2 linked regions of the Callithrix jacchus genome follow. The protein of the gene in region 1 purifies or fractionates together with the protein of each later gene. This does not show direct contact. Links are inferred from orthologs where the notes say so. Each region holds a gene or a part of one and is shown in the gene's direction. Other genes may lie near its edges.

What was found.
Region 2: the proteins of CDC42 (region 1) and MAP3K11 purify together in Homo sapiens (affinity purification with western blotting; 3 studies listed by BioGRID and IntAct, with this or other methods). This does not show direct contact. The link is inferred for Callithrix jacchus from reciprocal best matches to the Homo sapiens genes CDC42 and MAP3K11.

What each region holds. Positions count from the first base shown.
Region 1 is NC_133508.1:58,835,477-58,839,440, forward strand, and holds part of CDC42 (cell division control protein 42 homolog), read left to right. Parts: intron 1-2,998; 5' UTR 2,999-3,048; coding exon 3,049-3,153; intron 3,154-3,964. UniProt on the Homo sapiens protein: Plasma membrane-associated small GTPase which cycles between an active GTP-bound and an inactive GDP-bound state. In active state binds to a variety of effector proteins to regulate cellular responses. Involved in epithelial cell polarization processes.
Region 2 is NC_133511.1:122,692,744-122,696,707, reverse strand, and holds part of MAP3K11 (mitogen-activated protein kinase kinase kinase 11), read left to right. Parts: coding exon 1-135; intron 136-240; coding exon 241-416; intron 417-538; coding exon 539-782; intron 783-1,250; coding exon 1,251-1,364; intron 1,365-1,956; coding exon 1,957-2,092; intron 2,093-2,183; coding exon 2,184-2,275; intron 2,276-3,964. UniProt on the Homo sapiens protein: Activates the JUN N-terminal pathway. Required for serum-stimulated cell proliferation and for mitogen and cytokine activation of MAPK14 (p38), MAPK3 (ERK) and MAPK8 (JNK1) through phosphorylation and activation of MAP2K4/MKK4 and MAP2K7/MKK7.

The sequences.
Region 1 (3,964 bases):
TTTTCATTTTACAGAAGGGGAAACCAAACTACACAGAGGTGACATAGCAAGAGTGTGGTAAAGCCACTCTGATTCCAAAACTTCTAGGCTCTTAACAGGGGACTCACAACCAACCAGTTTGTAACAAATTGCTAACAGTCAGGTCAGGAAGTCTAAGAAGTAGAAGACTTCTGGATAAATAGAAAGGGGAAGGGCAAACTCTATCTTGCTCTTTCTTCTTGCCTCCCTTTTCCCAATAAAATTCAGTAGTTACATGCAGAGTGAAAAACAGGAAGTGAGCTTAGCCCCTGTTTTTTGCTTCCTCTTCTTTATTTTTGCCTTCCTGTTTGCAATGCTGGTAACTCGTGGATATATGCTTGTCACTCCTCTAGCACTGATTACATTTGTTTTTATTAATGTCACTTCTCAGACAGTATAGTGTAATGTAATGTTTATTAAGAGCCGGGACTTGAGGCTGGGCACAGTGGCTCACACCTGTAATCCTAGCACTTTGGGAGGCCCAGGTGGTTGGATTACTTGAGGTCAGGAGTTAAAAGACCAGCCTTGCCAACATGGTGAAACTTTGTTTCTACTAAAAATAAAAAAATTATCCAAGTGTGGTGGCATGTTCCTGTAATCCCAGCTACTCGGGAGGCTGAGGCAGGAGAATTGCTTGAACCCAGGAAGCAGAGGTTGCAGCGGAGCTGAGATCATGCCACTGCACTCCAGCCTGGGCCTTAGAGTGAGACTCTCAAAAAAAAAAAAAAAAAAAAAAAGGAGGGACTTCAGAGTCAGACTGCTTGGGTTTAAATTATAATTCTACCCCTTACTGGCTAAATGACCTTCACTTAGTTACTTGCTGAGCCTCTTCTTACCTTTAATATAGGAATGATATAGTACATACTTCATAGGCTTTTTGGGAGGATAAAATGTGTGAATATGTGTAATATGGTTTGAGTAGTGCCTGGCACTTAGTAAAATGCTATATAAGAGTTTGCAGCTTACTATTATTATTTGAGAATGTTTTTAGATTGAACCAGTAATTGATTTAGCTTAAGGGTCAGGGCCCTTAACTTTTAATGCTATATAAGTTTGGGTGCTTCTCTAGTGCATAAAAAGAGAAGGAAAAAGGAGATATAAAAGGAAATTGAATAAAGAAAGATAAATATGGCTGGTTGTGGTTAGCTCATGCATGTAATCTCAGCACTTTAGGAGGCCTAAGTGAGTGGATTACTTGAGCCCAGAAGTTCAGGACCAGCCTGGGTAACAGTGAGACCCAGTCTCTCTTTAAAAAAAAAAAAAAGGCTAGGCATGGTGGCATGTGCCTCTGGTTCCAGCTACTTGGGAGGCCAAGGTGGGAGGATTGCTTGAATCTGGGAGGTGGAGGTTGCAGTGACCTGAGATTGTGCCACTGCACTCCAGCCTGGGTGATGGGAGTAAAACCCTGTCTCAAAAGAAAAAAAAAAAAAAAAGATAAATATACTGCAGATAATTTTGATGAGGAACGGGAGAGTATATTTCTTGTAGGTTACTCATACTAACAGTTTCATATTCTTTTTGTTCCATGAGTTTTGCATCCATTTAGTAGCTCCCAGTGCACTGGTCTAGAAGTGCTCAGTGCTAGAAGTATCGTGGTACATGAGGTAGTATACATTCATTTACAGAGATGTTAATAGGCATTTATAAATTGTTTTGATGAAGTGTTGTGAATGGTGCTATAGAAGCATGTGGCATCTGACTAAGAGTGAGGTAGTTCTGTATTTTTATGTTTAATTATAATCCCTTTAGGATTATAATTTAAATAGGACTTTATCTTAAAATCTAGGTATATCTTGGGTGGTGTTTCTTTTCATTCTTTCATAAAACTATTAAAGTATTTCATTGAATCTAACATCCCAATTTCATAGAAGTCAAAATGTGGGGGAAAACGGCTGATAATGATTCTAAGAGACTCTCAATGAAGATACATTCTGACTTTAGAGATGTTTAAATGTGATAAAAAGCATCTCAAATTAATGACTCTTTGGTACTTGTAATTGATAGCTTCTTAAAATGGAGGACTCTAGTAAGAATCTATAGTATCTGTTTATAAGTCACTATGATTTAGAGCAATCTGACCTTTTCATTATAAAAATATAAGTTTTGGACTAGGCATTCTGGTGCTAAAACAGCTGCTAAGACCAGTGATCACCCTGATCTTTGTTCAGTTCCTCATGTTACTCATGTAATTACTGTGTGATCGTGTGGTGCTCTGTTGCTTGTTGGTTAGAGCCTGAGTAACTATAGCCCTAAGGCTGGATAATGAATCATTCTGTAAAGCATGGCCTTTGTATTTCAGTCTAGTTCACATGCATGCATATATATATATATATGTGTGTGTGTGTGCACATGTAACCAGAGAACAGCTTTCACAAAATAATACTGCACAATACTTGGAATTTTCTCTGATATAGCCTCCTCTCTTTTTTTTTTTTTTTTTTTTTTGAGACGGAGTCTTGCTCTGTCACCAGGCTGGAGTGCAGTGGCCTGGTCTTAGCTCATTGAAACCTCCACCTCCTGGGTTCAAGTGATTCTCCCCCCAGCCTCCTGAGTAGCTGGGACTACAGGCATGCGCCACCACACCCAGCTAATTTTTGTAATTTTAGTGGAGATGGGTGGCCAGGATGATCTCTTGACCTCATGATTGACCTGCCTTGGCCTCCCAAAGTGCTGGGATTACAAGTGTGAGCCACTGCACCTGGCCTTCTCTCTTTATAAAAAGGAATATGCTGCTTAGCATACCACTTTGGACCTTTTAAAAATAACACTAAAGAAGTTGAAACAGCCATGGATCAGAAACTTAGAAATGGACTTTGTTATTGTAACTTTTAGCAAGTCAATGTTTTTCTTACTGGGTTCTTTTAGCCATAATAGTTGTGTTCTTTTCTTCCTCTGAGCGCCTGTTAACCTGTTGCTGAGGGGAAAAAATACATATATAAGTAATAAATAAACAAAACAAATGTCTTTAATCTTTTTGCAGGTTAACATCAGATTTGAAATATTTAAAGTGGATACAAAACTATTTCAGCAATGCAGACAATTAAGTGTGTTGTTGTGGGTGATGGTGCTGTTGGTAAAACATGTCTCCTGATATCCTACACAACAAACAAATTTCCATCAGAATATGTACCGACTGTAAGTATAAAGGCTTCCTTCTGTTAGTAAAATGTGTTAAAATTTGATATCCTTTTGGAAACTCTTTATGTGTACTGAATTTTTTCTGTTGTCTGCCTTTGTTTCCTGTTTTTAAAGATCTTGACTTCTCATGGGTAAATTATATACACTTTAAAATTAAACAGCTGAAAAATCAGTGGAAAGTCAGAAGGGGTGACACACGGGTTTGCAAGAAGTGCTGGGAGGCAAAACTCCCATAGACAAGATTCTAACGAGTGGTGGTCTCAATTTGGTGAAGTATGCGCTACATCTTGGAATGAGGTGACCTTTTTTTTTTTATATTTTGGCCAATTATTGATCCAATACTTGCAGGTCTCCTGGGATACCATTTGGGTCCTGTAACGTCAGAGAAAGTAGTGTGTGTCTCCGCTTTTCTTGCAGAGCTATTCTCTTAGCAGTAATGGAGTTCCAAACTGGGTCTTAGAGGCAGAGAAGAGAAGACCGTTATGTTATGAGAACACCAACAGAAACCTTTGGGAGTCACCCACCACAGCTGTTTTTTTTTGGTTTGTTTGTTTTTGAGATGGAGTCTCACTCTGTTGCCCAGGCTGGAGTGCATTGGTGCAATCTTGGCTCACTGCAACCTCTGCCTCCCGGGTTCAAGTGATTCTCCTGCCTCAGCCTCCTGAATAGCTGGGATTACCGGCGCCGGCCACCACACCTGACTAATTTTTATATTTTTAGTTGAGACTGGGTTTCACCATGTTGGCCAGGCTGGTCTCCAACTCCTGACCTCAAATGATCCACCTGCCTTGGCCTCCCAAAGTGTTGG
Region 2 (3,964 bases), on another chromosome or scaffold:
TGTGGGAACTGCTGACCGGAGAGGTGCCCTACCGTGGCATTGACTGCCTCGCTGTGGCCTATGGCGTAGCTGTTAACAAGCTCACACTGCCCATCCCATCCACCTGCCCCGAGCCCTTCGCACAGCTTATGGCCGGTAAGAGGACACGGAGGGCAGGTGAGGGGCAGAGCTCCCTAGCCCAGGACGCATCCACCCACAGACCCCTTCTTATTCTGTCCCCGCTGCACGCGGTGCCCCTAGACTGCTGGGCGCAGGACCCTCACCGCAGGCCCGACTTCGCCTCCATCCTGCAGCAGCTGGAGGCGCTGGAGGCACAGGTCCTGCGGGAAATGCCGCGGGACTCCTTTCACTCCATGCAAGAAGGTTGGAAACGCGAGATCCAAGGTCTCTTCGACGAGCTGCGAGCAAAGGAAAAGGTAAGTCAAGGGACCCAGCTTTGGAAGGAGCATCTCCCCGGTCTCCTTGGGGCAGAGTGGGGGCGGGCGCTGCCGGGATCAGTGCCAGGCTGACCTCCCCGCCTTCGCTGTCTCGGCCGCAGGAACTACTGAGCCGCGAGGAGGAGCTGACGCGAGCCGCGCGCGAGCAGCGGTCACAAGCGGAGCAGCTGCGGCGGCGCGAGTACCTGCTGGCCCAGTGGGAGCTAGAGGTGTTCGAGCGCGAGCTGACGCTGCTGCTGCAGCAGGTGGACCGCGAGCGGCCGCACGTGCGCCGCCGCCGCGGCACCTTCAAGCGCAGCAAGCTCCGGGCGCGCGACGGCGGAGAGCGCATCAGCATGCCACTCGGTGAGGGGCGGGCACCTGGGCGTCCCTCGCCAGTGGCTGCGACCGCGGGGGGGTGGAGCCAGGCTGTGTGCTGACCACGCTGGGATTGGTTTAGGGTGTTGTGGGTGGGCCCATGAGCTGAAGGCTGGAAGGGGTGGAACCAGGAGTGTTTTTTCTGTCTGTGGGTGGGTTCTGGCGGAAGTATTTGCATGTCGGTCTGGAGTGGCTGCGGCCGGGAAGGGGTGTGGTGCACGAAAGTTCTGGGAAGGTCTAGGGGGCGGGGCAGGCCGGCGCTCGGACCTTTCCGACTTGGAGGCGCTTCTGGAGGTGGAGCCCAGCTTTCCTGATCCAGAACGCAGGGCTCGAGAAGCCAGTGAGGCTGGCCACTGCCACAGCCACCCTGCTGCTCCCTGCGTGGCCCGGGAGCCGGCCTTGGGCCCCTGCAGATCACAAACCTGCACCCTGCTCCCCCCCCCACCCAAACCCCAGACTTCAAGCACCGCATCACCGTGCAGGCCTCACCCGGCCTTGACCGGAGGAGAAACGTCTTCGAGGTCGGGGCTGGGGATTCGCCCACCTTCCCCCGGTTCCGGGCCATCCAATGTAAGAAACCTCACCTTTCATCCCCCTCTTCGTCCCTGAGCCCCTTATCCTCTATCTAACCTTGCCCTGGGAGGTGGATCTCACTCACTACCTCCTCTTCCTCCCTGCCCTAGGTCTAGACTGTTAGCTCTGAACTCCAAAGCTGCATTAATTTTATTTTTTTTTAGTCAAACAATTGTATGACACTATGTACTACTCATTTTCCTAAATGCTTTGCTAATAATCGATTTCTTACAGTAATTCTGTTAGGTAGTTATTTTTATTATCTAAGTTTTATAGATGAGGTAGTTATTTTTATTGTTAGCTAGGTTTTATGGATGGAGTAAAAAGTAACTTGCTACACAGCTAGTAAGTGGAAGAACCAGAATTCAAACCCAGGCAGTGTCCTAACTACTGAGTAGCAAATGTCAGCTGAAGGGCTAGATGAGATGCCACAGCCCACTGTCTGCCCCAAGACCCAAACCCATCTATCCCACCCAAAGCTCATCCTGGGAATGGTACAGGGCCCAGCCTGCTCCCCATACTCTGAAGCTGACTGTCACAGTGGAAGGAGGATACGGATCATCTCCAATTCCATTCGTTTCCCCTGTAGTGGAGCCTGCAGAGCCAGGCCAGGCATGGGGGCGCCAGTCTCCCCGACGTCTGGAGGACTCAAGCAATGGAGAGCGGCGAGCATGCTGGGCTTGGGGTCCCAGTTCCCCCAAGCCTGGGGAAGCCCAGAATGGGAGGTGAGTACCTGAGTGCCCTCCAGCCCCAGCATCATCTGCTTCCCAAGTTCTGAAATTCCTAAAGCACCCCTCCTTGCCCTCCCATCACCAGGAGAAGGTCCCGCATGGACGAAGCCACATGGTACCTGGATTCAGATGACTCATCCCCCTTAGGATCTCCTTCCACACCCCCAGCACTCAATGGTGAGTGGCCTTCCTCCTCTGGCAGGATCTGGCTGAGCTCCTTCCGTGGGCACCTTGGGGAGACCATGAGAGGCTAGCAGGCAGAGCAGGAGGCCTGCCCTGGTTGCTCTCATTCTAGAGACTAGGAAACCGAGGCTGAGACAGGACAGAGCCGATCCTAGAACCCAGGTCTGACCTATAGGCCCACAGTCAAGCTGCATACAGCCCAGGCCTCAGCTCGGGCTCAGAGTCTCGTCCTCTTATTCAGACCTAACCTGCAAGAAGGCTCTTCCCTGGCCCTGTGGCAGCCCCTGTGCCTTTAGCAGGCTCCAGGGAGAAAAGAAAGATAGGAAGCCCACCTGGCATTGGGTACCCAAGGCCCAGAGAGGGGAAGGAATCAGCCTGATCAGTCTGTGTGGGGTGGAGCCAGACAAGTGTCCGTCACACTGTGCTTCTCAGAGTCCCTTCTGGGAGCCTGTAGGTGAAGAAGAGAATGAGAAGGCTGATTAGTCAGGATCCAGGGCCCATTGTCACCACATCCAGCATAGCTCAGGGCCTTTCTCTTCTCTGTGATAATGACGGCCCTACTGTGTGCCAAACATTCCCTCCAAGCATTGATGGGGAGGGGCTACTGTTACCCCATTTTACAGATAAGAAAACTGAGTCTCTGAGAGGTGAAGTAACCCACCTCAAACCCCCAGCTGAGGATTTGAACCCAGAGAGACTTCAGCTCCCATGCTCATAGTGAGCTCAGAAGCTTTCACTTGAAGAAGGGGCTTCTCATGTATAGACTGCTTAGGTAGCCAGAGGGTTAGGCAGAGAGAAGGGCTCCAGCATCACTGGGAAGACAGCTTAGCTCAACACTGCCCATGTCTGACTGAGGCCAGAAAGCCTCCCTGCCTGTGGGTCCCTGTGCCAAACTAGGGACCATCCTTAGAGCCCCCACACCTGCTTCTCATAGCCAGAATGTAGGACCCACTTAGCTGCTCTCAGAAGAGTCCTGTTCAGCAAACTGTTTAAACTCACTCCTCCCACCCTACCCAGCCCATCACCTCCACCACTCCCTGAGCTACATTCCATAGTCAGAACAACTGCTAACCTTTGTTGGGTCTCTCCTATATGCCAAGCAGTTCTGTGAGGGGAGTAGTATTATTGGTCTCATTTTACAACAGAGGAAACTGAGGCACAGATTTAAGTGGTTTGATGTAAGGTACCCAGCAGGGCAGAGATTTGAACAGGGCCCTGGGCCCCTACCCACCCTGCCATTTGCTGCTCCAGCAGTTGCACTGCCCTAGGCAGCTGTCCTGCAGGGACTGAACTGAGAACTGGAAGGCCAAGGAGGCTTCTTGAATTTAACTTGCTCTAAAATGTACCAGGCCAGATGGGCCAAAGGAGAGCTCCAGGTCCTGTCAACCCAGGTATGTAGGTTGAAGCAGCCCCTGACTGTTCCACAGAAGCCTCTGGCCCTGAGCTCCCAGAAGCAGGGGCACAAGGGGCCTGAACCCCATTGTTTTCAAGCTTGCCTCATGGTTTTCTTTTTTTCCCAAAGTTTTTTTTTTTTTTTTTTTGAGACAGAGTCTCACTATCATTCAGGCTGGAGTACAGTGGTGTGATCTCAGCTCACTGCAACCTCCATCGCCTGGGTTCAAGCAGTTGTCGTGCCTCAGCCTCCCGAGTAGCTGGGACTACAGGTGCACGTCACCACACCCA